Stegostoma tigrinum: one gene and its partners. The protein of the gene in region 2 interacts with the protein of the main gene of each other region in a biochemical or structural test. Links are inferred from orthologs where the notes say so. Each region holds a gene or a part of one and is shown on either strand. Other genes may lie near its edges. The genes, in order: alyref, nuclear RNA export factor 1, rbm15 and ran.

Region 1 (7,802 bases), on a different chromosome or scaffold from region 2:
TGAGAACTGCAAGACCACTCAGAGCAAAGCAATGAGTCAAGGCCATTTACTTCAACAGCTAATATTTAAATCATGTCAGATTTCTGAAGACTAATGACAGACATGGGACATGGAACTACAAGTCTGAAGTCTAGAAACAATTAAAACCTGGAAGTGCATTAAGCAGAAGATACTCAAAAGTCTTTGAGGACAACATACTGGAATGAATAAAAAGGTACATGAAATTCAAGTGAGATGATGTTTTGGAGGAGGATTCCGCTCCTTCTGGAGAAAGGAAATGGTTTGATAAAAGGGGGTTGAAACAATGCATTTAGATAGGAACAGTTTTTAGTGGCTCAGTATATCATCTTATCAAACCAAACTGATCATCAGATTTATTGGCCAGAGTACCTAGACTTTAGGATCTGCAGGTGATGGGGTGCTGGACATATATTTAGAGTAGCCAAAACAACGTAACATAACAAAAACCACACTTCAGGGAGAAGAGTCTGAGGGGGGATAAAAAGAGAAGAGAATAGCAAGGCCAACTGTATTGCTATTTAAAAATAACTTCCACACTATCCTGTTGTATTGTTTAATCAGTGGCAGGAAGAGTTCAATTCTAAACAAACTAGAATACCCATGAGCATTTCCAACCCACAACTCAGGACCAATATCCTGCACTTCACTTACCTGAATATCTGCATCAGACACACCAAAGTCTAAGTTGGACACCAAGAGTTTTCCACCAGTTTCAACACCGCCGCTAGCGCCAAAACCACTGTCAAAAAGGTCATGCTGCCACTTGTCTGGGAGTTGTTTCGGCTATAAGAAAATAGAGATATACCTCGCTGACTTCCTACATTTTGTACCCCAATACATTGGTTAATTTCACATGTCCACCCTATCTATCTTTCCCCTCCCCCTATATTTACAATATATTATAGGCAAGACTGAGTCACTTGCTTCAGCGATTGTCATGGGAGTTTCATTACAAATACACTGACCTTACCTGAAATGGGTTAACTATTTAACAAAATGACATGTGCGTATGTACTGAATATAATTTAGTATCTAATTAAAATGTTTGTACTCAGTTCACTAAGCTAGCAACATATAAAGTGGTCCTGTACACACAATGATAGATGAAAATTAAGCATAGAAAATCAGATGCAACTGTTTACTTGGTGAGAAATGAATTCACTTATTATCCTACCACTGTTTCCACAGCACATCATCTCGAACTAAAGCCTGGATTCCTTCTAATAGCCACTAGCCAGATACTTTGGTGAAATTCTCCTCAGCTGGTGGTAGCTTCTCCAGCAGAAACAGCTGCAACGCCTCCATCTCTTCCAAGCGAGATGCATTCCACTGTCCAAAATTCTTGGCAGCGCAGGAGTCCATAACAAAGGAACGCTTTGCATCAGCTAAGTTCCTTTTAATAGAACTGATCAAGAGTCCTTCAAAAAAAAAGTCCATGACTTGCCAGGTAACCAACCGAGCGAAGGATATGCTCGCAGAAGGTTCACTTTTGTATGAACGTTTCATTAAAGTCCAAAGAAAAAGAGGCAGTTTGAAATAGTCCTGATCAATTCAGGAGTCTGTTAAAGGTGACCAGAGATGCGAAGCTGCCGTCGAGAAATGCGGTGCAAATAATCAATCGAACTTTTGATGTGGTAAAGTGGCAAAAGGTGGTCCTTACAAACAGTCCATCCTTTGTAAATCCGTCGGTGTGAAGCACAAAGGGAGCGAGGGCATTATTACTGCGGCAGGATTGCTGATCCCCACGCTCCTCCCCGACATCTTTGTGCTTCGGGTCGGGCCGCCATTTTAAAGCTCCTGGTGAATTCGGCTCCGGTGTCGACCGCAGGCTCTGCTCGGGAGCCGCCATCACATTTCCGAGCTCTCAACAGACTTGGACGGACGTTTAAAAGCAAATTATTAGCAACGAAAACACGAATTTCCGCTTGTCAGCCTCCTCCGTAGAAATCACGAGGCGCCGTGTAACAATCCCTTCTTCCTCGATTCTCCGACGTTTTCACGAAAAAAAATAACTCGTGGCCAGCGGGGCCCGGGGTTTGTTTTAAAAAGTTAGCGGGCTAAAAGATTTTTGTTTTAAAAAAGTAATGAAAAAAAACCGAATCTATAACGGCTCCAATATGGCGCCGCTCGGTTCAAAATTCAAACCGAACGTTTTATATTAAAAAAAGCACTTCCAGAAAAAAAACAAAATAAAAATCTACAAATGATTTGTTTTTCCTTCCTCTCTCTCTGGATTTAAATGAAACATTTTTTTCCCCTATCATTTCTGTTTTTTTTGTGTGTTAAAACCGCGGTCGCTTCCTACCCTGCTGTACGGAGCCGGTCTGTTTCTTCCTCGGATTGCACTCTGTCTGTTGCGCATGAGGCCTACAGCCAGGGCTCCCGCCCCAGCTCCACCGCCACCGCGGCCTCCCGCTGCTCCACGACCGGCTAGGCCGCCTCGGCCGGCTCCCCGGCCCATACCGCCTCCTCCTCCACCACCACCACCACCTCCTCCGCCGCCGCCGCGGGCACCTCGGCCCCCGCGGCCGCCTGGGCTTTTCTGCCGGTTGAGTTTGATGATGTCGTCCAGGGACATGTCGAGTTTGTCGCCCATTTTTGCTCTCGGAGAAAGGAAAAAAACCCTTTAATCCCTTTCTCCCGCCCCACACAACAAAACCGCCTCTTCACGACGGAGGGCTTGGCTTTCGAGTATCCGACAGGGGAAACGAAAAACAAGCTAATTTTCCAGATTCATCAACAAAAAAACACCTTGATTAAAGAGTGTGTTTTTTTATATATATATAATGTAAATTGGTATAACGATCTATCGCAGCTTTGACCGCGGCGCCGCACCTCACTGACACGGTTAATGGCGGCTTTAAGGACAGAGAGGGCGGGATGGGGAGTGACGACGGCCCGTCCACACACTGCGCACGCGCTGCCCGCCACGGCCGGTCACAATAGCAGTCGTCATCAACGACTCCCACTTAGGATGCGCCCAATCAGCGGGCAAGGCGGGAAGGAACAAACAACGGGGCCGGGCTCTGCCCATTCAGAGAAACTGAGCATGAGACGGAACCCCCGCGGCGGTGACGTGTGCTGACGTCACGCGCAGCCATGGACACACCCCCTCGGGGGTAGCAGGAACTGCAGACGCGGTAAAATCTGAGATAACAAGGTCCGAAACATCTGCCTTCCTGCTCCTCTGATCCTGCTCGGCCTGCTGCGTTCCTCCAGCTCTACACCTCCTCGGGGGAGCAGTTTCTCAGCCTTCATTGGTAACTCCCACAGGAGTTGGGGGGCGAGATGTGGGGAATGAGCAGGGCTGGGTAGCAATACATGGATGGGAATAGGGTGTGTGTGTGTGGTAGGTTGATATGTCGGGAAGACGTTCTGAGGAAGGGAAACGTTAGCTCCGTTTTTTCCCCCTTCATGGATGCTGCCAGACCTGCTCAGATTTTCCAGCAACTTTGCTTTTGTTCCTGATTTACAACACTCATTGTTATTTCGGTTCTGATTTGTGGGAGGGCTATGTGGTTGGGATTTTTCTGCGGGGGTGTGGGATATTTATATGGTGGTGTAAGGGGCATATTTGAGAGGGTGGGCATTTTGTGGGAGTGATTTGAGGGACGTTTCAGGGAGAGGTGGGGGAATTTTTGGGGGAGATTTAGGTTGAGTTGGGGTGAATGGGGTGGGATTAGGGAATCAGATGTGAATGCAGAGAAGTATGGGGATTGGAGAGACAGGGATGCGAGGGATGGGGATAGGTCTAGGAGAAAGATTGGGGGATGGTGGTGTGGAGGGATTGGGGAATGCTAAAGAAAAAATGTTGTAATGCAAAATGGCAAAGATTACCATCTAAAATTGAATCACACATTTCATTGATCAGCTATTAATTTTAACAAGTGTCTTTTGAAGGGGCATACAGAAAACATTGAATCAAAAACGTTTCCACTATTTTGTCTGTACACTGCAGCCCCAGTGGTACCAACCTATCAGTTATAGAAACCAACAACCATACCAGCAGGCACAGCACCTGCCTGCTGCAAGGAAACCTAATCATCAAATAGAGGCAGGTTCCGCTCATCACTGCTTGCTACATGGTGTTGTTCAATAGTTATTTTAGCTTGCTCCAGGGGGCAGATCAACCTTTGTCCCTCTCTATGGCTGGCTGTTTAGACTGAGTCTCCATTCACATATAGGGCTGGGCTACATTAAGTAAAGCCATACAACTGCAGCTTTTTGTTAACATTCTGTTTGCCTCCCAAAATTAGTTCTGCTATTTCAACTCACATCTGGTATAAGTCTAGCATTTTATAGATTCTACCATTAACCCTATCTCCTCTAGTAATATTATAATTTATTGATATCATCATAAACTCGGATTGACTTCAACACAGTGTCTGACTCCCTTGACAGTCCAAAGGGGGAGGCGACGGTCTAGCAGTTTTAATGCTGGACTGTTAACCCAGAGACCCAGGTAATGTTGTGGGGGTCCAGGATCAAATCTTGCCGTGGCAGATGGTAGAATTGAATTTCTACAAAAATCTGTAATTAAGAGTCTAATGATAACTATAAAACCATTGTTGATTGTCAGGAAAAAACCCATATCGTTCATGAATGCCTTTAGGTAAGGAAACTGACATCCTTACCTGGTCTGGATCACATGTAACTCCATCTCACAACAAAGTGGTTGACTCTGAACTATCCCCTGGAATGAGGAACAAATGTCGGCATAGCCAGCAATGTCCCCAGTTAGTGAATGATTTTAAAAAAACATTGCTGCACTGTCCAATTGCCTGCATCAACCACAATTTCCAGATTAATGCAATCAAAATTTAACCCATTCTGTTTGGCCCCTGCCTATAGTCTTTAAATTTGGCCCTTTCCCCCTCTCATATACTCCCTTGGCAACTACCTTTAGGCTAAATCAGGAAGTGTAGAGCTGTTCTACGGTTCAACTTCAAGCTGAGCTCACTAGACATCTATTCTGATGGGGATTGGACTGCTTTCTTCCAACTTCATGACAATGCCACACATCTGTGATAATAAAGTGTGGAGCTGGATGAACACATCAGGCCAAGCAGCATCTTAGGAGCACAAAAGCTGATGTTTCGGGCCTAGAGACCCACATCTGTTTCCATCTCTTTCTCTCCAGCTTACAAATCTTGAAGCCACGTGTTCAGCATTTTACAACTTAACATCAGTAATGAAACTGCATTCCTTCCTGTGTAAAGATTCACCTTCCCATTAGCTAGCACAGTGGCTCAGTGGTTAGCACTGCTGCCTCACAGTGCCAGGGACCTGGGTTTGATTCCACTCTCAGGTGACTGTGTGTGCAGAGTTTGTACATTCTCCCCTTGTCTGCATGTGTTTCCTCCGGGTGCTCTAGTTTTCTCTCACAATCCAAAGATGTACAGGCTAAATGGATTGGCCATGCTAAATTGCCTGGAGTGTTCAGGGATGTGTAGATTAGGTCGGTTATAGGGGGATGGATCTGGGTGGGATGCTCTTAGGGTTGGTGTGGACTAGATGGGCCAAAGGGCCTGTTTCCACACTGTAGGGATTCTACGATTCTATCTGCACAATAGTTCCATAGCCTCACCCCTCACTAACTTTGCAACCTTGTCCAGCCTCTCAAGTCTTCTGTACTCCTCTAATTCTGCTTCTTGTGCTTTCCTAATTATAATCAGTCCACCATGCCTTCAGCTGCCTAGCCTGTGAGCACTGAAATACCCTGCTTAAATTTCTTCAAGCTTTTTCTACTCATTTAAGACATTCCTTGAGACCTACCTCTTTGGCTTCTCCTTACGTGTCAGGTGCCAAGTTTTTGATTATCAGCCTGCTATGTGACGAGACATTTCTACCACTAAACACAAGATGTTGCTGTCCTCTCCAAGAACCATGTGTTTTCCCACCCCTAATTCAAGTCCTTGCATGGACCATCCTCAGTGGTAATCTCTCGCCTTGCTTCCAAGTATATATCCTTCATTTCATACACTTTCTCTTCCAGTTTGACCAGCATTGATCGCTGATTCACACTTCTTACATTACTACAATTTGTATAATTAATTTTCTGTAACTCAAACAAAGCAGTTGCAGCAATCAGTTTCTTTCACACTCAGTTGCTGTTTCTTTTCAGAAGGTCAATGCAATTGAATTGGCGATGCAACGAATACTATTAAACTTCAAGCAGGATATGTTGGTTCAAATTCCATTAACGTTAAGCTTTGCTGTGAGCATTTCTTTCAAAAACTGGACTCCAAAATGAGGGGATAATTAACGAGGAATATTGTTGATGTTGTCTGTGGGTGGAGGAAGGAAATGTCAAACTATTTTGAAGGCATTTCATTAAATACATAATTGTATTTGAGCATTGCAGATCCATTCATAACTTTAAAGGATTTACTGAACAGTCTGAAGCAGGCTAACTTGTTTCAATGGCATAACTTAGAAAATCTGTGCTATATTTTATGGGTTATTGTTTTTGATTCTGCTCATTTTGTCCTTCAGAATAAAATTACAGTAAGAAGCCCATGGGAACAAATACATTGAGTTTGACATTCAGAAATTTATTAGTTGTGCTTGGCATCAGTCACTACCCCCTCAGGAACAATTATTCTTCTGTTTCATCTGTTGAAAATTGTCATTTCCTGGTTACATTCCCATCAAGAGTGAACATATCCCACATGGATTATAAAAGGTCCCAATGTTAAAATCACTGCAGCTGATTAAGGGATGAGTCAAAGGAGACAAGGACATACCTTCTGCCTAGTCACAACTGATTCTATTGATGATTATCATTATTTCTGTACTTTTCAAGAAAGAAAAATCAAAGTACTATAAATGTGGAGTCGGTAATAAGGGCTATAACTGATGAATAAATTCATACTTTATGTTCTAGCAATTGAACAATTACTACCAGTTTGGTCTGAGAATCTTAAATCTCTAATCTTTTACTGCTAATATCTTTCTCAAAGTCAGATTTATATATAGCTATCCCATACGATGTCTGCATTTGTTTATGACAAACTGTTCAATGGATTAAAAACAATTACATTTTGTAACAACATTTGTCATTTCCTTATGATTTTTCATTTTCCAACTAAATTGGTTTGATTCTCAAGAAAGATTCTTGATAAATAACATTTCAATGTAAATATTGGGATAAGGGTTTTAAGAATGGTGGTACTGAGGGGGTGGTTTATGTGGAACATGACCCTGATCGGTCTAATAGTCTCTTTCTATGTTGCAATTTTTTTTAATAAAAAGAATCATTCCCGGTATGAGAGCATTTCTGGCGAGGCCAGCATTTATTGACTATTCCCATTCGCCCAGAGGACAGTTCAGAGTCAACCACATGATGTGGGTCTTCAGTCACATGGATGCCCGAGATGGGTTTTTATGACAATCAACAATGGTGATCATTAACCTACATTTTATTGCAGATTTTTATTGATTCAAGTTTGCCACGGTGAGATTTGAACCCATGTCCCAGAATATTACCCTGGGATTCTAGAATACTAATCTAGTGATATTAACACTACGTCACTGCCTCCCTCTTTGTGATTCATAAATTATAGTTGATTGAATCTGCTTGTAGCTTATTCTTAAATAAATTATATAACAGCTAACCCCAGAAAAGGCATGTAACAGAAATGCTGACATCCACATATAGCTATTTTAAAGGCTGGCACGAGTAATATTTTCTGCTCTGATCTGACCTGTACCCAAGATAGGATATGATTTTTCATACAAATTTTCTATTGTAACACAGCACAAGTATAAACGGTAGATTT
Region 2 (7,091 bases):
GGACCCAAGTCAGAATTCTGAAATCCTGCCAACTTCAGAAGTTTAAGTAAATTGCAGGAGGTACTGAACTTCAGTGAACAGCATTCTTTTAATGTATATGGTTTCAGTGTAAGTGTATGGGTGATAGCAGACACTGAGGAGAACTGTGGGAATTTCCAGGAAAGTTCAATCTTCAAAAGATCAATCTTAGAATGGTTACAGAGATAGCAGGAACTGCCGATGCTGGAGAATCCGAGATAACAAGGAGTAGAGCTGGATGAACACAGCTGGCCAAGCAGCATCCGAGGAGCAGGAAAGCTGACGTTTCCGGTCTAGTTGATTCTAGGCCAGTTTCTGAAGATTTCTGAAGGGCCTAGACCCGAAACGTCAGCTTTCCTGCTCCTCTGATGCTGCTTGGCCTACTGTGTTTATCCAGCTCTATACTTTGTTATCTCAATCTTAGAATGAAGCTCCTTCACTCTCTCCTCAGGTTTAATTATGCATTTGCTGGTGCAAGATGTCAATCAGACAGATCTTGCTTTGGGAAGTATTTGACTGCATTTGGACGGGCTTTTCTTTTCGTCTTTTCAACCAGAACTTAATTCTATGGGGCCTTTTACATTATAAAAACATAAGGTGCTGTGTGACAGAGTGTGTCAGAAAAATTCAGGTGATGCCAGCCTGTATGAGGAGATATTTAAGCAGATGACCCAAAACCTTGGCCTAAGAGTTGAGAATGAACTTGGATGACAGAAGAGGGAAGGAAGGAATTACAGAGCTTAGGACCCACGCATCTGAAGGCGTGATGAACAATGGTGCACCATGGAAATCAGGGGTGATCAAGAGACCAGAACTGAAAGGGCTCAAATTCAGAACACTGCAGAACTAGAGGTGATAGGTGAAGCACCAACATTCAGAAGACTCAATACTATCCAACAACACAAGTCAGGCTGCTAATCAGTACCACTGAAATCTGCAAGACCACAAGCTCACTGATGGAGGTGGTAACACCTACAATCTCTGACAAAGCACAAAGATCACAAGAGCAACCTTCATGCACTCTGCCATGCTTTACAGCTTCCTGACAATGTCCTCAGACATTGCCTGATATCTCTACTGTTGAGCCAACAGTAGCAGTTGAAAAATTTCACCACATGAAATTAGTGTAAGTTACACACCAAAATTTAGTAGTGAATATTGACACGATTGCACAGCTGTTAAGTCACTGACATCTTAGAATGCAACTAAGATTCTAGGCCAGTGAGTCGTCAAGCAGGTTGGGGGAAGAGGGGTCACAGCAAGGGACGGGATGGGGGAGTGCGTGCAAGGGGTTGTGGGGTGGGAAGACAAGTGCTGTGAGTGGGCGGCCAAGGGAGCAAAAAGCGAGGGGAGCGGAGTCAGAGGCACAAGAGGGAGGGGTGGCGGAATGCAGGAGAAGAGTGGTGGCAGACCACAGGGGTTGGGGAACAGACCGTGGGGGCGGGGGCGGGGGTGGGGTAGCAGACCATGGGGGAGGAGGATTTTGCAGAACACAGAGGGAGTGTGTGGGGGGGGGAGGGGGGAGAAGATATGTGGGTGGGGGCAATGGGGAGACAAAACAGGGTGTGGAAGGGGGCGGGAATAGAAGAGCCAGCATGGTGGTGGGGGGTAGTAGAAAAGCGTGGGCTTGGGGGGCAGGGGAAGAGAAGCGCAGGGGATGGTGGGGGGGGAGGAGGGTGGTGAAGGTTCGGTGCGTTTGTGGGGGGGGGCGCGGTGAGGGTTCGGTGTGTTGGGGGGGCGGTGAGGGTTCGGTGCATCGGGGGGGGCGGTGAGGGTTCGGAGCGTTTGGGGGGGGCGGTGAGGGTACAGTGCATCTGGGGGGGGCGGTGAGGGTTTGGAGCGGTTGGGGGGGGGGCGGTGAGGGTTCAGTGCATCTGGGGGGGTGGGGCGGTGAGGGTTCAGTGCATCTGGGGGGGTGGGGCGGTGAGGGTTCGGTGCATCTGGGGGGGTGGGGCGGTGAGGGTTCGGAGCGTTTGGGGGGGCGGTGAGGGTTCGGTGTGTGTGTGGGGGTGATGGGGAAGGTTTGGTATGTTTTGGGGGGTGATGGGGAAGGTTTGGTATGTTTTGGGGGGTGATGGGGAAGGTTTGGTGTTTTGGGGGGGTGATGGGGAAGGTTTGGTGTTTTGGGGGGGGTGATGGGGAAGGTTTGATGTTTTGGGGGGGTGATGGGGAAGGTTTGGTATGTTTTGGGGGGGGTGATGGGGAAGGTTTGGTATGTTTTGGGGGGGGGTGATGGGGAAGGTTTGGTGTTTGGGGGGTGATGGGGGGGGTTTGGTATGTTTGGGGGGGTGATGGGGAAGGTTTGGTGTTTTGGGGGGGGGTGATGGGGAAGGTTTGGTGTTTTGGGGGGGTGATGGGGAAGGTTTGGTGTTTTGGGGGGGTGATGGGGAAGGTTTGGTATGTTTTGGGGGGTGATGGGGAAGGTTTGGTATGTTTTGGGGGGTGATGGGGAAGGTTTGGTGTGTGTGGGGGGAGTGATGGGGCAGGTTTGGTATGTTTTGGGGGGTGATGGGAAAGGTTTGGTATGTTTTGGGGGGTGATGGGGAAGGTTTGGTATGTTTTGGGGGGTGATGGGAAAGGTTTGGTATGTTTTGGGGGGTGATGGGAAAGGTTTGGTATGTTTTGGGGGGTGATGGGGAAGGTTTGGTGTGTGTGGGGGGGGGTGATGGGGCAGGTTTGGTGTTTGGGGGGGTGGGGGGGGCGATGGGATACAAAGTGCAACCCTGTACTCTAAGGCCTAACGCCAGGCCTCCACCTTCTCCCCCACCCCCACCACCCCCGGCCTGTCTGTCTGTCTGTCTGTCAGACGCGTCGAACCTTTGTCCGTTAAACCGCCTCGTTCCTTACCGCTGTAGTGCCGCCCGTCCTCCGACATGTCCCGTTCGTCTCCCTCCTCTGGATCCGGTCAGTAATCTCCGTTTCTCCCCTCCGAGCTCCTCAGGGGATGACACCCGAGCGGGGGGGCGGGGAGGCAGAAAGAAGATACCGTGGGATGTCCTGCTGGTTGGCTCCGTTTTGTGTTGGTCGCTCTGTGGGATTAAGGCTCTAACGGACACCCCGCCCCCGGTAGTGTGTCTGTGTGTGACCGCCCGCTCTGACAGGAATGTGCGATGGCGCCTCACCCACGGACAATCGGTCCGACGCGCGTGCGCGCTCCACGGCGCCGCAACGACCGCGCGTGCGCGTCCACCAGATCACTGGCGTCGCTTGGTGCTCCCTGACGTCACAGGGAGGCGGGGCGGGGCTGGCTTCAAGCGCTTTGGGGCGGGGCTTGGGGACCCGGAAGTGGAGTTAGGAGAAGAGATGTGTCTATGCTGCTGATGGGGTTAGGTTGGACGTGTGAGAGACAGGGATGAGTTAACTGCAGCTTTAAACAAAGACATCTGGTACTGAGCTGAGTGATAAGATAAGGGAGTGAAGGCCAAGCAGTTAGAAACCAGAATGAACTGGACCCAAACTGCTAAGTTTTGCTTTGCACCATAGACATAGTTGAAGCGCATGCTTAATAAGACAATGCATATTAACTTTCACACCCATGCTTACGAGACTGCTTAATTAACATAACATGCAATGTATGATGAGGGTGGGACAAGGGACGACATGGGAAGATTGTGCACCTTGGAGCTCAGATTGGACAGAGCCGAAAGTGGAGGACATAGATGGATAAAATGATGTATAAAAAGAGGCGACTCCCTGACCTGTGTGTGTCTCAGGCAATGGGAGGCACCCGATTCTGCAGACTCGTAATAAAGTGCAAGTAACTTGTTTCCAAGACTTTGTGATTGTGAGCACTTGAATCTATTATCTCACAGACGTATTTAACATTGTCACTTGTACCCAGGTAGGGTGAAAAGTGGATGATGTTGCCAGGTTCCGGTGAATTACAGAATAAAGTGTATAAATGGTTAAAGTACTGAATAAATTAATGTTAAATTGGTGTCAGTAAAACTGAATGAGCTCCAAAAAGTAGTCCTCCTGCAGGAAGGGGGCCCCCAGGGCAATCAAATCCAAAAAAAAGGGTCCTCAAGGACTATGGATGCTGTAAATCAGGAATAAAAACAGAACTTACTAGAAAAGCATCTGTGAAGAAAAAATTCAAAGTTAATGTTTCGGGTCCAATGACTCTTCCTCAGATCAGAACAGTTCTGAGGAAGGGTCACCATACCCAAAATGTTAACTCTGATTTTTCTTTCTTCACAGATGCTGTCAGACTTGCTGAGCTTTTCCAGCAACTTCTGTGTTTGTTCCAAAAAATTAGGGGAAGGGAATGAGCATAGAGCTACGGGAAGGCAGGCGGTGGGGTTATGAGTAACAGAGTCGGGGTTGTGTTTAGGGGGAAGGAGTGGAGGGGGGGTGGAGTTAGTGTGAGGGGATTTATCCTAGAAACAGGATAAATGTATTTTTGTTCCGAAGAGTCATAATGGATGCAAAATCATTCACTCTTATCCCCAGGCCTGCTAAGCTTCTCCACCAGTGTTTTGTTTCAGATCTCCAGCATCCACCGTTCTTTGTTTTATTGAAATTGGCTTTATATCATTTTATGGAAAATAAATCAAAAATATCTACAGGAACAGAAGCAGGTCAATCAGCTTGTTGGCCCACTGTTCAATACAATCATTGTTAATTTACCCAGTCTAGTATGCCACTGGTGATCAGAAATCTATCTCAAAGAGCCATAGAGTTGTATGGCACGGAAATAGACCCCTTGGTCCAACTAGTCTGTGCCAACCAGTATCCTTAATTAATCCAGTCCCATTTGCCAGCATTGGGCCCATATCCCTCTAAACCCCTCCTTTTCATGTATCCAATCCAGATGCTTTTTAAATGTTGTAATTGTACCAGCCTCCACCCCTTCCTCTGGCAGCTTGTTCCATACACGCACCACCCTCTGTGTGAAAATGTTGTCACCCTTTGCATTCTTCCCCTCTCACTTTAAACTTATGACTTCCAGTTTTAGGCTAACTGTCACGGCTGCTCATATTTGAAAGACACAAAATGACCGATAAGGGGATAAACAGAATTAAATGCCTGCTCCAGCATTTAAGTGAAACTATGGTGCCTTTGAAAAGGGGTTACTCCAAGGTGAAAGGGGGTTTGGGGGTTGGGAGGAGGCCCCGTACAGGCAGCAATCAGGGTCAGCTCAATAAGAGGGTGGTCAAGGGCCGCAAGCTTGAAAATTTGTAACAAACACAGATGAACTCGTTGAGACTGCAGGTTGTAAAAAACTGTAGCATTAAACAAGTTCATTAAACTGTAAAAAGTGACTGATTCCAGCCTTGTTAATGAAAGGATGTCATCCCATTAGGAGGAAAGAATCAGTCAGAATAAGGACACTAAATCTCAGCCCATAAAACAGTCAACCTAATTCATCACACAGCTGTGAAAACAACAGCGAAAGTTATTTAGCAGTAATTAGTTTTATTTTCTTAAAATTGTTACAATATTAAGAAATAGGTTCTAGTTAAAGATTCTTCAGATGATCACACAGATAGATTCCAACGTAATTATCAGCACAAGTATACAACATCATGTCCTGTATGAAATAAACTGCTTGCAACTTATTAGCGAAAGAGTGCTCACAGCAGAGGTAGCTATAAAATTTTACACTAAACCAACTATATATTAGAAATTAATTTTCCAAATCTTAAGGCAGTTAGTTAGAACCAACTGTCTTCTGTATTTTGTTTTTATATAATTAGGACAATGGGAAAATATAAGGTGGGTAACAGATTTTGATGGAGATAGCAAAGGAATACAAGGGGCAACAGAATTCAAGCAGTCCTTAGAGATAAGCAAGTCTGGGATGTATTCGAAGGAGTATAGCTAGTAACTTTGGAACGTGAATTAATAGAATGAATAGAAAGATCCCAAGGCCTGGAGATTATAATGTCTGTTAAACATCATGAGACCCATGGGATCTTAGGGCTGTCAACAGGAATGTCCATCATTGATTAGGTGGTTCACAGGATTGAATGTATAGAATAAGGGGAGGGACACAGTAACAATGTTGTATATGATTATTATAACACAAAATGTCCAAAATTCTGTTATCTCACTGTGAGCACTGGAATATGAAATTGATCGTTCTTCCGATTTGAGCCAAAGATTAAGAGAACAACTGGGTTCTCACACACTGAGGCCAGATTCAGGGAAGTCCTTGGCCCTCTCCCTGCATTAACCAGTTGTTGGTTGAACAAGAATAAAGACTGCCTTGTGCCTGCCTCCTGAGTCTTTGTCACTGGTCTCGTGTTTCTCTCCAACACTCCCCCACCCTGGAAAAATACCTTGGCAATTCATTCTATCGATACACCTCATGATTTTATAAACCTCTACAAGGTCACCCCTCAATCTCTGACGCTCCGGGGAAAATAGCCCCAGCCTGTTCAGGAATAAAAACAAAGTTGCTGGAAAAGCTCAGCAGGTCTGGCAGCATCAGGTCACCGGACCCGAAATGTTAACTCTGTTTTCTCCTTCACAGGTGCTGCCAGACCTGCTGAGATTTTCCAACAACTTTATTTTTGTTCCTGAGTTACAGTATCCGCAGTTCTTTTGGTTTTTATCCAGCCTCTTCAGCATCAAACTGTAGCTCAAACCCTCCAACCCCGGCAACATCCTCATCAATCTTTTCCAAACCCTTTCGAGTTTCACAACATCTTTCCTATAGCAAGGAGACCAGAACTGCATGCAGTATTCCAATAGTGGCCTAATCAAGTTCACCTCACATTTTAAAACTGAAAGAACTGCGGATGCTGTAAATCAGGAACAAAGACAAAAGTTGCTGGAAAAGCTCAGCAGGTCTGGCAGCACCTGTGAAGGAGAAAACAGAGTTAACATTTCGGGTCCGGTGACCCTTCCTCAGAACTGATGGTAACTGGGAAAATGTCAGTTTATATACAGAAACCAGGGAGGTGGGTGGGTGGGGTAGGGAGTAAACGACAGGACAGAGCCCAAGGAGAGAGAAAAAGACAGTTGGACAGGCAAAGGAGTTGCTAACGATCTGGCTGGGAGGGTGAGTAGTTGTTAATGGGGACTGTTAGTGACTAACAACAGGGGGTGTGCAGTGGCGGGCTGTG
Region 3 (7,615 bases), on a different chromosome or scaffold from region 2:
ATCCCTTTGTGGTTTAATTTAATATGCTAATCTCTTACATGGGACTTTGTTGGAAGTCATCTGAAAGTCCAGTAAACCATGTCCACTGGCTCTTGCACATCAACTCTACTGGTTACACCTCAAAGGATTCCAGTAGATTTGTCAAATGTGATTTCCCATTTGTAAATCTATGGTAACATTGTCTAGCCGTGCCACTGTTTCCTAAGTGCAGATGGTGCACGCTGCTGCTATTACACATTGGTGATGGAGGGAAATGATGTTTATTCATGTGGTACCAATCAAACAGGCTGCTTAGTCCTGGATAATATCAATTCTTTTGAGTGTTGTTGGAACAGTACTCATCCAGGCAAGTGTGGAGACTAATCCCTGACAGATGATTCCTTCATTATAAAAAAATCCCCTCTCTGAACGTAGATAGTTGGAGATATCCTTGAAATTAGCGAATAGTGTTCAACCTTGGTTAATTACAGAGGTTTGACAGCTACAAATTTCAGCTCTGTAACCACGTAAGTTCCACACCATCATTATCATTGAGAATACTGTCACTAACATGGAGCAGGACTTCACGGACCTGATTGTTGTGGCATTGATTCAGAACTTAACTCTGGAGCCAAATGAACATTGAGACCCATGACAGATCAAATTTAACATAGATAAGTTTGACAATGTACATTTTGGAAGGAAGACCGCAATAAGGGAATGCAAATTAATAGGGACAATTGTAAAGAGATGTAGGATCAGAGAAACTTGAAGGCATACGTACTTAAATCTTTTACATTGGTAAAGCTGTTAAAAAAAATGCAACCATTGATTGATTGATTTATTGTTAAATGTACCCAAGTACAGTGAAAAGCTTTGTTTACAAGCAGTACAGGCAGATCATAGTCAGCAAGGATGTACAGATCATAGGGTGGAGAAAGCTAGACAGAAACATACAAGTTATTTCGCACAGGGTGTGCACTAGGCAAAATCAACATTAGCAAGTTCAGCAATATTTGAAGTTAGAGAGTCCATTCATCAGTCTAAGAATGGCAGGGAAGAAGCTGTTCTTGAATATGCTCATGCATGTGTTGAAGCTTCTCTATCTTCTGTCTGATGGAAGAGTTTGTAGGAGATCATTCTGGGGTGTGATGTGTCTTTGATGACATTGACAGCCTTTCTACGGTAACGGACCAACAGTAAACCGACTCCATGGATGGAAGGTTGGCTTCCGTGATGGTCTGGGCTATGCCACCGCCTTCTGTAGTTCCTACAGTCCTGGGCAGAGCAGCTGTCATGTCAGGCCATTATGCACCCAGACAGTATGCTTTCAATGGTGCATCTGTCGATGTTGATGAAGGACCCAGTGGACATGCCAAATTTACTGAACCACTTGAGGAAGAAGAGGCATTGTTGTGCCTTCTTGACCGTCACATCTACGTGGGAAGAGCAAAACTGGTTGACGGTTATCGTCACTCTTAGGAACTTCACACACTCCACCCACTCAACCTCAGCACCATTGATGTAAATGGGGGCATGTTGACATCCTGTTCTGAAGTCGATGATCAGTTCTTTAGTTTCGCTGACGTTGAGAGAGAGGTTGTTCTCATTGCACCATGTTACCAAGCCCTCTATCTCCTTTCTGATTCGTCATTGTTTTATATCCAAGGTGGTGTCATCAGCAAACTTGTGGATGGCGTTTGTTTAGATTTTGGCAATGCTGTTGTACAGGGAGTACTGTAGGGTGTTGAGCATGTATTCTTGGGGGGGGGGGGGCGTAGTGATGACTGTTCTCATGGAGGCTGTGCAATTGGCAAATCTTCAGTGATTGTGGTTTGTTGGTCAGGAAGCTGAAGATTCAGTCACAGAGGGCAGAGCCTTTGTAAACAGAAGCCTGGAAAGTGCAAAAGCTAGAAAATTTTGCTAAAATTTTATAAAACTTTTATGAGGCATCAGCTAATATTTTGTGTCCAATTCTAGACAACTCACCATAAGAGATGAGGCTGAGGAAATTTATCAGTGAAACTACTAATGGAAGACTCAGTTAGTGAATATTCAAGGGAAGCTGTGATTGTTCTCCTTATAGAAGAGGAACTTAAGTGAACATTTGATGCAACTGTCGTTGATGTCGAAGAGCTTCATGATGTCTGGAGAAGGATCCTTAAACAGAGGGCATGGATTTATAACAACTAACAAAGGATCCAGAGGCAAAATTAGGAAAGATATCCCATCAGCACTGCCAAAAAGGATGTTGAAAACACCTCAGTTGTAACATTCCAAAAGAAAATAGAACATGTAGCATAGAACAGTACAGCACAGTACAGGCCCTTCAGCCCACGATGTTGTGCCGACCTATTATCCTAAGAACAATCTACGCAGCACACCCTATATTTTACTATCCTCCATGTGTTTATTCAGGAGTCACTTAAAAGTCTCTAACTAAAAGTATCTGACTCCACCACCACTGCCGGAAGCACATTCCACACGCCCGCCACTCTCTGTGTGAAGAACCTGCCTCTGACATCTCCCCTATACGTTCCTCCGATCAACTTAAAATTATGCTCTCTCGTAATAGTCATTTCCACCCTGGGAAAAAGTCTCTGACTATCCACTCTATCTATGCCTCTCATCATCTTGCAAACCTCTAACAAGTCACCTCTCATCCTTCGTCACGCCAATGAACATAGACCTAGCTTCCTCAACCTTTCCTCATAAGACCAGCCCTCCAGTCCAGGCTGCATCCTGGTAAAGCTGGATGAACACAGCAGGCCAAGCAGCATCTTAGGAGCACAAGAGCCTAGACCCTTCATCAGAGGTTGGTCCAGAGGGAGGAGGGTAACTTCTTCAGGTTAGGCATCCCTGGAAGAGGCTTTGCAGTGAGGTCTGATGAAGGGTCCAGGCCCGAAACATCAGCTTTTGTGCCCCTAAGATGCTACTTGGCCTGCTGTGTTCATCTAGCTTCACACTTTGTTATCTTGGATTCTCCAGCATCTGCAGTTTCCATTATCTCCGATCTAGCATCCTGGTAAATCTCCTTTACACCCTCTCTAAAGCTTCTACATCTTTCCTGTAATGTGGTGACCAGAACTGAACACAATATTCCTAGTGTGGTCTAAACAGAGTTTTATAGAGCTGCAGCATAACCTCATGGCTCTTAAACTCAATTCCCCTGCCAATGAAGCCAACACACTGTACGCCTTCTTTACAAACCTATCAACTTGGGTAACAACTTTGAGGGACACATGGATGTGGACCTTAAACCCCTCTACTCCTCCACATTGCTGAGACTCCTGCCATTAGCCCTGTATTCTGCATTCAGATTTGACCTTCCAAAATGAATCACTTCACACTTTTCTGGGTTGAATTCCATCTGCCACTTCATTGCCCAGCTCTGCATCCTGTCAACGTCCCATTACAACCTACAACAGCCCTCCATGCTGTCCACAACTCCTCCAGCCTTCATGTCATCAGCACACTTACTGACTCACCCTTCCACTTTCTCATCTAAACCATTTATAAAGATAATCAGCCCCAGAACAGATCCCTGCAGCACATCACAAGACACCAAACTCCAGGCTGAATATTTTCCAACTACTCCCACCCTCTGTCTTCTATCGGACAGCCAGTTTTGTTTTCAGACAGCGAGAGAGTTTGGATAAATAATGGAAGATGGTCTACAAGGGAAATAGTAGGGAACAAGAATGGTGTTAGAGAGAATTTCAGAAGCACAACAGCACAATCACAATGCTGTAAATCACTTAATAAGAACATAACAAACTGCAAATGCTGTAAATCAGACACAAAAACAGAAGTTGCTGGGAAAGTTCAGCATGTCTGGCACCAGCCAGGGACAGAAATCAGAGTTAATGGGAACTGCAGATGCTGGAGAATTCCAAGATAATAAAATGAGAGGCTGGATGAACACAGCAGGTCAAGCAGCATCTCAGGAGCAGGAAAGCTGACGTTTCGGGCCTGGACCCTTCATCTCTGATGAAGCTGAAACGTCAGCTTTTGTGCTCCTGAGATGCTGCTGGGCCTGCTGTGTTCATCCAGCCTCACATTTTATTATCACAGAAATCAGAGTTACTGTTTTAGGTTTGATGGACCTTTGTCTGAACTAAATGGGGTGAATGGCTTGGAGACAATAAGGTCTGCAGATGCTGGAAGCCAGAGTCTGTAGGTGTGAGGCTACAGCAGGTCAGAGAAGAGGGAAAGTCAACATGTCAAGCCCACACGCTTGGTCAGGCAAATGGCTTACCGTGTGTATGTGAGATCACAAGATGTGGAGCTGGATGAACACAGCAGGTTAAGCAGCATCTCAGGAGCAGGAAAAGGGTCCAGACCCAAATGTCAGCTTTCCTACTCCTCTGATGTTGCCTGGCCTGCTGTGTTCCTCCAGCCCTGCACCGATTACCACACTCCACCAGGACCAGCTCCTCCTTCCCCATCTGTGCGAGAGATCATATATAATGTGTATTGGGGAGGGGGAGGGGAAAAGGGCGGAGCTACTCTGCCAGAAGGATGTGGGAAGCAGCCAATGGGAGGGCGTGGTGCTACGGCGTCGCGTCCAATGGATGCGGGGGGATAGGGGCGGACGTTAGAATTCGAACGGAATTTCTGGTCTGATCTTTTTATTCGTGTTTCCAATTTCCATCGCCCAACGGCCATGATTTTCCTCAAGGTTCCGCTCAGCAAGTCTTCGTTAGAAGTTTGCCAGGCGATTGGCCAAGCAATAGCCTGCCTGGGCCCAATCAAAGTAAAGTGCTACTGAATAGACTGTAAAATTCTCCAGGATTTATTCAGGTGGCGCTTAATAAATTCGTTAGATTGTTTAATAAATTCAGGGATATCCGGCCCTCCATTCGACTTTAGAACAGGGTTTATGAGACATTGCCGAGTGCGTTACCAGGGCGTTACTGAGTGACACAGCACCGGCCAGTGACATGGGGAGGCCCAGTGATCTCGACCAATCACAGAGCGAGGCCTAGTGGTCCCGGCCAATCATAGTGCGGGACACAAAGGTTCTGGCCATTCAGCGTGGGCGTTGGGGGCGGGATCAGGTACAAAATGGCGGCGATGGCCCGAGTGGATTTTCGGTGTTGGTGAAAATCTGTGGAAAAAAATATCGGGAAGAAATAATCGATTTAAAACCATCAAAAAAGGGATTCAGTCGGTAGATTAATGAATTATCTGAGGTAAACTGTCGATTTAAAAGCGTCGATTGTTTCTATTCCTTCCCAAGGGGAAAGGGAAATAATGAAGGAGTACCAGTGAAGGAACGGCGGCGAGGAGATAGTGCAATCCGCCCGTTTTTATATCAGTCTGTATTTTTAGTGGAAGATTGATTTTTGTCTTTTCCTGCAACCTGGATTGCTAATTCCTGTCGTTAAGGAATATGAAGGAGAAAGACGTGTCGCCTAAAACTGGCGGAAAACGCGGTGAGGAAAGGCGAAGCGGCCATCACCAACAGCCGAGGAAAATTGGGAATACCCACAACAGCATCAACAGGAACAACAAAAACCACGGCAATGCCAAGAGGGCTCGCAACATTAGCGGCAAAAGGACCAACAACAGAGATTATGATGTTTACCCTCCCAACCGGACTACTAATAACTTGAGTCTTTCTTCCGCTTCCTCAAGGGCAAGTAGGACTGAGAGACAGCCTGCTGAATACAAAACCCTCAAGATCAGCAATCTGGGTTCCCAGTTGAGTGATGGTGCCATTGAGGATGGCCTCTTCCACGAGTTTAAGAAGTTTGGGGATGTCAGTGTGAAGATTTCCAGGGATGGTGATGAAAGAGTGGCCCTGGTGAATTTCAGACATTCTGAGGATGCTAAGGCTGCTAGGCACGCCAAGGGCAGATTGGTACTGCATGATCGCCCTCTAAAAATTGAAACAGTTTATCCTCCTCCAAAAGGAAGAAGTTACTCCCCTGAAATGGATGGGTATTCTGCACCAAGTGTCCAAGGCAACCGACACAGGCAAAGATCTCTGTCCCCTGCTGGACTTGGTTACAGAGAGCATAGAACTCAGCAACGCAGTTCTTTGGGGCGTCAGTTACCACCCCCACCACCTCCCCCTCCTCCACCTCAGAGAGATTTGGAAAGAGAGCGGGATTATGCCTTTTATGAAGGCAGGGCACGTGCTGCTTACACACTTGATAGAACCACATTTAGGGAGGATGAAATCTTGCCAGAAGATGACAAAAGAGCTAACAGGACGTTGTTTATTGGTAACTTGGACCCTTCAGTGTCACAAAATGACCTTCTGCTTGCGTTTGAAAGGTTTGGCGTTATCTTGGAGGTGGATATCAAGAGGCCACCACGTGGGCAAGGAAATTCTTATGGTTTCCTGAAATTTGAAAACTTGGACATGGCCCATCGAGCTAAGATGGCAATGTCAGGAAAAGTAATTGGACGAAATCCCATCAAAATTGGATATGGGAAAGCAACGCCTACCACTCGATTGTGGGTTGGAGGATTGGGTGCCTGGGTTCCTGTAGCAGGTCTTGCAAGGGAATTTGATCGATTTGGGACCATAAGATCAATTGACTACAGAAAGGGAGACAATTGGGCTTATATTCAGTATGAAAGCTTGGATGCTGCACAAGCTGCATGTACTCAGATGCGTGGCTTTCCCTTGGGTGGACCAGATCGACGTCTAAGAGTTGACTTTGCGGATACAGAACATCGTTATCCTCAACAGTATCTGCAGGCCTTGCCTCTACCTCCTTTTGATTTGATTGGAGATGGCCTTCTTCCTCGAGGTGCAGAGTGTCTGAGGGGTAGGGAAAGAAATTCTCCTCCAATGCATTACAGAGAAAGAGAGCTTTTCCCAGGCAATGACTGGCATGTCCTTTCAGTCCGGGAAAGAAACAGAAATAGCCATGAACAGTTCGATCATCTGGATCGTGAAGTCAGGGATAGCTGGTCTCTTGAACGTGGGCGTGACCATATTTTGCAAAATTGGGACCAAAGAAGGAAAAGGAGAGGCCCTCCAGATACACGCCCAGCTGATTGTTCTCCTAGCAATGACCGCTCCAGAAAACGACGATGCATTTCCCCGGATCGCAGCCCGGGTAATAGCAGTCGTGATGGTGGACGCCACAGTGATTCAGACCGTGATGTTAAGAATGAGCGGTATTCGCCCAGTAGGGATCGTTGTAACAGCACAGAAAAAGTGCCCTGTGGTAAACATGAGACCAAAACTGTCAATGTGAATGAAAAGGATAAAGACCGCAAACATAGAACTACAGAATGTGCAAGTCCCACAAGGAGCAAGACTAAATCTGACTCCAGCAATGCCAAAGCATCGGATGGCTTCCGGGAATACGAACGCAAATTAAATGTAGCCTGGCATGGAATGCTGGTACTGAAGAATAGTTCTTTTTCCACAAACATGCACTTCCTTGAGGGTGATCTTGGCGTTGCGGCCAACTTATTAATGGATGTCTCAACTGGTGGAAAAGTCGCACAGTTAAAAATCACTCAGCGCTTACGACTAGATCAGCCTAAATTGGATGAGGTAACAAGACGCATCAAGGCATCAGGCACTAATGGCTATTGTGTCCTATTGGCTGTACCAGCATTGAACAGCATGGAAAATGTAGAAGGAATGTCAGCTTCTGTAGAGCAA
Region 4 (7,208 bases), on a different chromosome or scaffold from region 2:
TCAGTCTCCATTATCACTTATCCAGCTTTTCTTCCCTGGCTTACTAGTCTCAATCCTTTTGCCCAGTATCATCTTTTCCTCTACTTATCCTCATTCCATTTTGCCCCACCCCTACCATCATCTAAATACCACGCTTTCCCCTCCAACAAAAACAAAGAACTGCAGAAGGTGCAGATCTGAAACAAAAATTGCTAGAGAAGATCAGCCGGTCTGACAGTATCTGTAGGAGAAAGCAGAGTTAATATGGAGTCCAGAGACAGTGCTCTGCCAGACCTGCTGAGTTTCTGCAGCATTTCTGCTGTGTTTCATTACTGACTTTTGTGCTTTGAAAATTAGAAATGCCACTCAACACTTCTGTTACACCAAGACAGCTGGTCTCAAGTGAGCGCTAACTATCCAGGGTCAAATAGGGTTGTCAAACTCTTCTGGACTCAAGGTCCAAAGTTTCAGCCTTACCATCTAGAACTCAAAAATGTATAGAGGCATTGAAAATAAAGTTTTACCCTCCCCAACACTTTGAGGACTGTCAATCCTACCAAGCATTTTACATCAGAACTTAAAAAAAATCAAACTAGTAACAGTTCCATGAGACTGCTGGGAGAGGAGAAAAAAAGAGAGAAAAAATGATTAAATTAGATTACCTACAGTGTGGAAACAGGCCCTTCAACCCAACAAGTCCACACCGCCCCTTGAAGCATCCCATCCAAACCCATCCCCATTCCCTATAACCCACATACCCCTGAACACTATGGGCAATGTAGCATAGCCAATCCACCTAGACTACACATCTTTGGACTGTGGGAGGAAACAGGGCACCCAGAGGAAACCCATGCAGACACAGGGAGAATGTCTCTGTGTAGAGTTTGCACAGTCACCAGAGGCTGGAATTGAACCAGGGTCCCTGGTGCTGTGAGGCTGCAGTGCTAGCCACTGAGCCACCGTACCACCCCAAAAGGCATAAGTAAATTAGCCATACATTAAAGCTTAATTTTAACTAACCAAGGATATGAATACTGAAATGAACTGTTAGTGGAATCATCTACCCACTTATGAAGTGAGCATGAAAGACTAACTGCAGCTTAATGAAAACATCTTAAGCACTTCAAGAAAATGGAACAACATACACACCCTGATGGACCTAGATGCCCTTTAAATAAATGGATTGTTTGCAACTAAATAAAACCATGTAGTTTTTTTAGCCTCCTGATCATTACCACAAATGTTGGCAGTACAATGGCACCAGCAAGAGTAGTCTTATTGCAGTACTTCTACAAGCACCTTAGATTATGGATCAGTGCGATTTCATAAGAAAAAAGGAAACATACAAAATATTCTACTCGGGGGCATGTCATGTCCCATTTCAGTTTCCTCATTTTCCTCTTACCTTTTCACTTACCACCTCATTGTAAGCGTCACATAATAATCAGCCTTCACCTTTAGCACATGGTTAGTAGAGGCTGCTTATTATTCCATAAGAATCTTTGCAATACTTAAAACGCAGCTCCGTAGAGCCATTTCTGGCACAAACTCGCTGCTGGGAGTGAGTCACAATCCAATCTCATGAGCTGTACTGACATTGAAGACACATGGCAAGTAACATGGAGGCTGAAATAACTGAAGTCCATTTACAGAAGAACCAATTCTTTGATCAGAGTATTGTTACAGGTACTCCATATACACCCAAAACACAAGTACAACAATGACACACAACTTTCAGTTACATTATTTACTACAAACGGATTAAGCATATGAGATTCTCACAATCATTACTTGCAACGCAGAAGCTAAAGACTCCAACCTCACTGACTATTTCTGATAGGCATTAAAAATGCAAAAACAAAACATGGGTGGGCCAACATACTCAACATTGAGCATTAAGTGCACAGCTCTTCAAGCAATCAAAGGCAAACAGCACTTAATTTCTAAAATAAAAAAACCAAGAACCAAGGCACAAAGTGGACTGTTCATCCATTCAAAATTGCAGGCAGTTCTGTAACTTCAGGTAAAGCATGCAGAAGAAAACTGGTTTCTGAAAAGGACGCATTTACCTTCACCCCTGTAGCAGATTCTTACCTTGAACTGAACTTGAGGTTCTCCTTGATCACCCATAGCTTTTTCTTAAAAAAAAACCCTTTAACAGAAAAGACAACCTTTAATTGAAAAGCACAATCAGAAACGGGTCAGAAACACAGTTCAAGGCTTTACGTGTGTGGAGACATGGCGCATTATCACAAAAGGGCGGAAAGGACTCAAAAATAACGGTCCCCTGAAAGAATTTAAAGTGGCACAGAAAAGAGTGGCAGCAAGTCACAAAAAAAAAGGGTGGGACGCAGATAGTTTGCTGCCCCCTGGCCCAACAAGTGATTTTAAGGATTAAAAAAAATTGATAGAAATCAGCCTGGGACCGCAGCGAGGAGTTCCAGCAGCAAAAAGGCCGAACAAAGGGGATAGGCCCGGGGAGGGGAATGGGGACAGAGGAAGGCCCGAGGCGGTGGGGATGGAGAAAAGGCGCCATGTGCTGGCGCCGCCCGGGCTTCAAACCCGGGGCCAGGCCTTCGCTCCCTCCTCAACCCCGTGTACGCTTAGGGGGCGGAACCCGGGGGGGGGGGGGGGGGAAGGGGTGCAGAGTATCTCCCGGGGAGTGGTGGGGGCACAGTCTCCCTCCTGAGGGCGGGGGTAAAGAGACAGTGAGCCGGGAGGGGGACCCCAGGCTGAGGGAAGGCCTAAGGGCCCGGGAGAGCGGGAAATGGCGCCGCGGCCTCGCCGCAAACGGCCGAGAGCGGGAAGCCCAGGCCCGGGATTGAAAGGTGTAAGGGAGCCTCTGTCCACCTTTCCGTACCCTCCCCGGGATATCAGGGACACGGTAACCGCCCTCCATCCGCTCCCCCCACAACATCTCCCGGACCCTCACCTTCCAGAAACCTCTCTCCCTCAAAATGGACGCTCGAGCCTCAAATATTCAGCTCAGCGCAGCACGTGACCAGCCGCGGTGCGCGTGTCCGCAGAGGGAGGCGTGGGCTGGGTGCGCGTCCCCGCGGGGGCGGGGTTTTGTGTGTGTGACGGAGTGAGCGTGCGCAGGCACCGTTCGCGTGTCTCTGAGTGAGCATGCGCGCGGGGACATGTAACCATGTGGAGTTCCGTATGATCTGGCTGTATCCCTTTCCTACCTACTATCCTCATCCCGCCTTCCCTGGACTGACCTATCCCCTCCCTACCTCTCTTCTCCTCTCTCCATCTTCGGTCCGCCTCCCCCTCTCTCCCTATTTATTCCAGAACCCTCACCCCATCCCCCTTTTCATCCAGCTTCACACTTTATTACCTTGGATTCTCCAGCATCTGCAGTTCCCATTATCCCTGTACCCCCTTACCTGGGTTTGGTTTGTGGAAACAGTGTAATGCTGTCAGTCTGGGTTCAATCCACACACTTTGATCAACCTTTCCCCTCTCCTAAGCAATTATGACACTCAGGCTAAACTACCAACCTCTGTGCGTGTCTCTCTCGCTCTCTCACTAAAGAGCAGCCCTGTGGTCTGGTAAAACTACAGCAATTTGTCATTCCTCACCATGTAGCTGTCTGATCTATCACCATTCCCACTGTATTATTTACATTTTTTTCCACCATTATTCTGATTTTAGATAATGCTGGGTCTTCTTGCGTTCATACTTTGAGTAAATTGAGTGAGGAAGAAGCTTTTGAATTACTAATGAGTTGCAGAGTTTTTGACAGCAGGTAGGGAAGTGGAGTTCAGGCCAAAATGAGATCAGCCATTCAATGGTGGGCAGGTTCAAGGGGCTCAATAGCCTACTTCTGCTTAATGTTCATGACCTAATATTTGCACACAGCTATAGGTTGTACCCACAGCACATGGACTGCAGCGGTTGAAGAAGGCAGCTCAGCCCCACCTTCTCAAAGGTCATTTAGGGACAGGCCGCAACACTGGCCCATCCAGCGACACGCATCACACAAGTGAATAAGGAAAAGTCCTGAATAACAGCGTGGAATGGTCATAGTTCAGAAAGTGGTCATTGAGCTCGTCACATCTATTGCTAGCTCACTGATGCAGCAATTCAGATAGGACAGAAACAAAGCTGTACATGGTGGGAAGGAAAGCAATAAGTGAACGTGGAAAGCAGCAGAAACAGAGGGCAGCATCAAATAGGTTCAAAATTCAAAACATGTTAAAAAGACAAAATTAAAGGCACAATTATCGGTTACTAGTGGTGTACCACAAGGTTCTGTTTTGGGGCCACGGCTGTTTGTCATTTTTATAAATGACCTGGATGAGGGCGTAGAAGGATGGGTTAGTAAATTTGCAGATGACACTAAAGTCGGAGTCGGGGTGGATAGTGTGGAAGGATGTTGCAGGTTTCAGAGGGACATAGATAAGCTGCAGAGCTGGGCTGAGAGGTAGCAAATGGAGTATAATGTGGAAAAGTGTGAGGTGATTCACTTTGGAAGGAGTAACAGGAATACAGAGTACTGGGCTAACGGTAAGATTCTTGGTAGTGTGGATGAGCAGAGAGATCTCAGTGTCTATGTGTATAGATCCCTGAAAGTGCCACCCAGCTTGTTAAGAAGGTGTACGGTGTGTTAGATTTTATTGGTAGAGGGATTGAGTTTTGGAGCCATGAGGTAATGTTGCAGCTGTACAAAACTCTGGTGCAACCGCACTTGGAGTATTGTGTACAGTTCTGGTCACCCCATTATAGGAAGGATGTGGAAGCTTTGGAAAGGCTGCAGAGGAGATTTACCAGGATGTTGCCTGGTATGGAGGGAAGGTCTTATGAGGAAAGGTTGAGGGACTTGAGGCTGTTTTCGTTAAAGAGAAAGTGAAGAGGTGACTTAATAGAGACACACAGGATGATCAGAGGATTAGATAGCAGGGACAGTGAGAGCCTTTTTCCATGGATGGTGATGGCTAGCACGAGGGGACATAGGTTTAAATTGAGGGGTGATAGATATAGGACAGATGTCAGAGGTAGGTGCCTTACTCAGAGAGTAGTAAGGGCGTGGAATGCCCTGCCTGCAAATCAACAGCTTTAAGGGCATTTAAATGGTTGTTGGATAAACATACAAATGATAATGGAATAGTGTACATTAGATGGGCTTCAGATTGGTCTCACAGGTTGGCGCAACATTGAGGGCCGAAGGGCCTGTACTGTGCTGTAATGTTCTGTATTCTATGTTCAATGTAGGCACAATTATTGCAGATGATGTATGCTGTAAATTGGGAGAGGGGAGTGTGCAGTGGGACCTCAATATCCTCGTGCATCAGTTGCTGAAGGTGAGCATGCAGGTACAGCAGGCAGTAAAGAAGGTAAATGGTATGTTGGCCTTCACTGCGAGGGGTTTCGAGTACAGGAGCAGGGATGTGCTTTTACAGTTGTACAGGGCCTTGGTGAGACCACACCTGGAATACTGTGAGCAGTTTTGGTCTCATTTTCCGAGGAAGGATACTCCTGCTCTCGAGGGAGTGCAGCGAAGGTTTACCAGGCTGATTCTGGGGATGGCGGGTCTGACGTATAAGGACAGATTGACTAGGTTGGGATTGTTTTCATTGGAGTTCAGAGGAATGGGGGTGATTGCATAGAAACTTATAAAATTCTAACAGGACTGGACAGGGAGGAATTTCCCGATGGTGGGTGTGTCCAGAACCAGGTCACAGTCTGAGGATTCGGCGTAAACCATTAAGGCGGGAGGTGAGGAGACATTTCTTCACCCAAAGAGTGGTGAGCCTGTGGAATTCATTACCGCAGAAAGTAGTTGATGCCAAAACATTGAATGTATTAAAGAGGCAGCTAGATATAGCACTTGGGGCAAATGAGATCAAAGGTAATGGGGCAAAAGCAGGATTAGGGAATTGAGTTGGATGATTAGCCGTGATTGTGATGAATGGTGGAGCAGTCTCAATGGGCTGAGTGGCCTCCTCCTGCTCCTATCTTCTAAGTTTCTATGTTTCAAAACAAAAAATACTAATGAAGTGTCACCTGGACTCAAAACATCAGCTTGTTGTCTCTCCATGGATGCTGCCTGACCTGCTGTGATCTCCAAGTACAAAGGCACTCCACCTGAATACAGAGATAATGGGAACTGCAGATGCTGGAGATTCCAAGATAATAAAATGTGAGGCTGGATGAACACAGCAGGCCAAGCAGCATCTCAGGAGCACAAAAGCTGACGTTTCGGGCCTAGACCCTTCATCAGAGAGGGGGATGGGGGGAGGGAACTGGAATAAATAGGGAGAGAGGGGGAGGCGGACCGAAGATGGAGAGTAAAGAAGATAGGTGGAGAGGGTGTAGGTGGGGAGGTAGGGAGGGGATAGGTCAGTCCAGGGAAGACGGACAGGTCAAGGAGGTGGGATGAGGTTAGTAGGTAGCTGGGGGTGCGGCTTGGGGTGGGAGGAAGGGATGGGTGAGAGGAAGAACCGGTTAGGGAGGCAGAGACAGGTTGGACTGGTTTTGGGATGCAGTGGGTGGGGGGGAAGAGCTGGGCTGGTTGTGTGGTGCAGTGGGGGGAGGGGATGAACTGGGCTGGTTGAGGGATGCAGTGGGGGAAGGGGAGATTTTGAAACTGGTGAAGTCCACATTGATACCATATGGCTGCAGGGTTCCCAGGCGGAATATGAGTTGCTGTTCCTGCAACCTTCGGGTGGCATCATGGTGGCAGTGCAGGAGGCCCATGATGGACATGTCATCAAGAGAATGGGAGGGGGAGTGGAAATGGTTTGCGACTGGGAGGTGCAGTTGTTTGTTGCGAACTGAGCGGAGGTGTTCTGCAAAGCGGTCCCCAAGCCTCCGCTTGGTTTCCCCAATGTAGAGAAAGCCGCACCGGGTACAGTGGATGCAGTATACCACATTGGCAGATGTGCAGGTGAACCTCTGCTTAATGTGGAATGTCATCTTGGGGCCTGGGATGGGGGTGAGGGAGGAGGTGTGGGGACAAGTGTAGCATATCCTGCGGTTGCAGGGGAAGGTGCCGGGTGTGGTGGGGTTGGAGGGCAGTGTGGAGCGAACAAGGGAGTCACGGAGAGAGTGGTCTCTCCGGAAAGCAGACAGGGGTGGGGATGGAAAAATGTCTTGGGTGGTGGGGTCGGATTGTAAATGGCGGAAGTGTCGGAGGATAATGCGTTGTATCCGGAGGTTGGTAGGGTGGTGTGTGAGAACGAGGGGGATCCTCTTGGGGCGGTTGTGGCGGGGGCGGGGTGTGA

The links.
Region 1: the proteins of nuclear RNA export factor 1 (region 2) and alyref form a complex in vitro, tested with the Homo sapiens proteins (2 studies listed by BioGRID and IntAct). The link is inferred for Stegostoma tigrinum from reciprocal best matches to the Homo sapiens genes NXF1 and ALYREF.
Region 3: the proteins of nuclear RNA export factor 1 (region 2) and rbm15 form a complex in vitro, tested with the Homo sapiens proteins (2 studies listed by BioGRID). The link is inferred for Stegostoma tigrinum from reciprocal best matches to the Homo sapiens genes NXF1 and RBM15.
Region 4: the proteins of nuclear RNA export factor 1 (region 2) and ran form a complex in vitro, tested with the Homo sapiens proteins (2 studies listed by BioGRID). The link is inferred for Stegostoma tigrinum from reciprocal best matches to the Homo sapiens genes NXF1 and RAN.

Annotation. Positions count from the first base shown.
Region 1 is NC_081375.1:11,189,411-11,197,212, reverse strand, and holds the start of alyref (THO complex subunit 4), read right to left. Parts: upstream 3,016-7,802; 5' UTR 2,618-3,015; coding exon 2,327-2,617; intron 805-2,326; coding exon 673-804; intron 1-672. UniProt on the Homo sapiens protein: Functions as an mRNA export adapter; component of the transcription/export (TREX) complex which is thought to couple mRNA transcription, processing and nuclear export, and specifically associates with spliced mRNA and not with unspliced pre-mRNA.
Region 2 is NC_081395.1:11,825,380-11,832,470, forward strand, and holds the start of nuclear RNA export factor 1, read right to left. Parts: upstream 3,008-7,091; 5' UTR 2,894-3,007; coding exon 2,866-2,893; intron 1-2,865.
Region 3 is NC_081374.1:584,213-591,827, forward strand, and holds the start of rbm15 (RNA-binding protein 15), read left to right. Parts: upstream 1-4,596; 5' UTR 4,597-5,374; coding exon 5,375-7,615. UniProt on the Homo sapiens protein: RNA-binding protein that acts as a key regulator of N6-methyladenosine (m6A) methylation of RNAs, thereby regulating different processes, such as hematopoietic cell homeostasis, alternative splicing of mRNAs and X chromosome inactivation mediated by Xist RNA.
Region 4 is NC_081379.1:1,447,568-1,454,775, reverse strand, and holds the start of ran (GTP-binding nuclear protein Ran), read right to left. Parts: upstream 3,022-7,208; 5' UTR 2,912-3,021; intron 2,132-2,911; 5' UTR 2,110-2,131; coding exon 2,074-2,109; intron 1-2,073. UniProt on the Homo sapiens protein: GTPase involved in nucleocytoplasmic transport, participating both to the import and the export from the nucleus of proteins and RNAs. Switches between a cytoplasmic GDP- and a nuclear GTP-bound state by nucleotide exchange and GTP hydrolysis.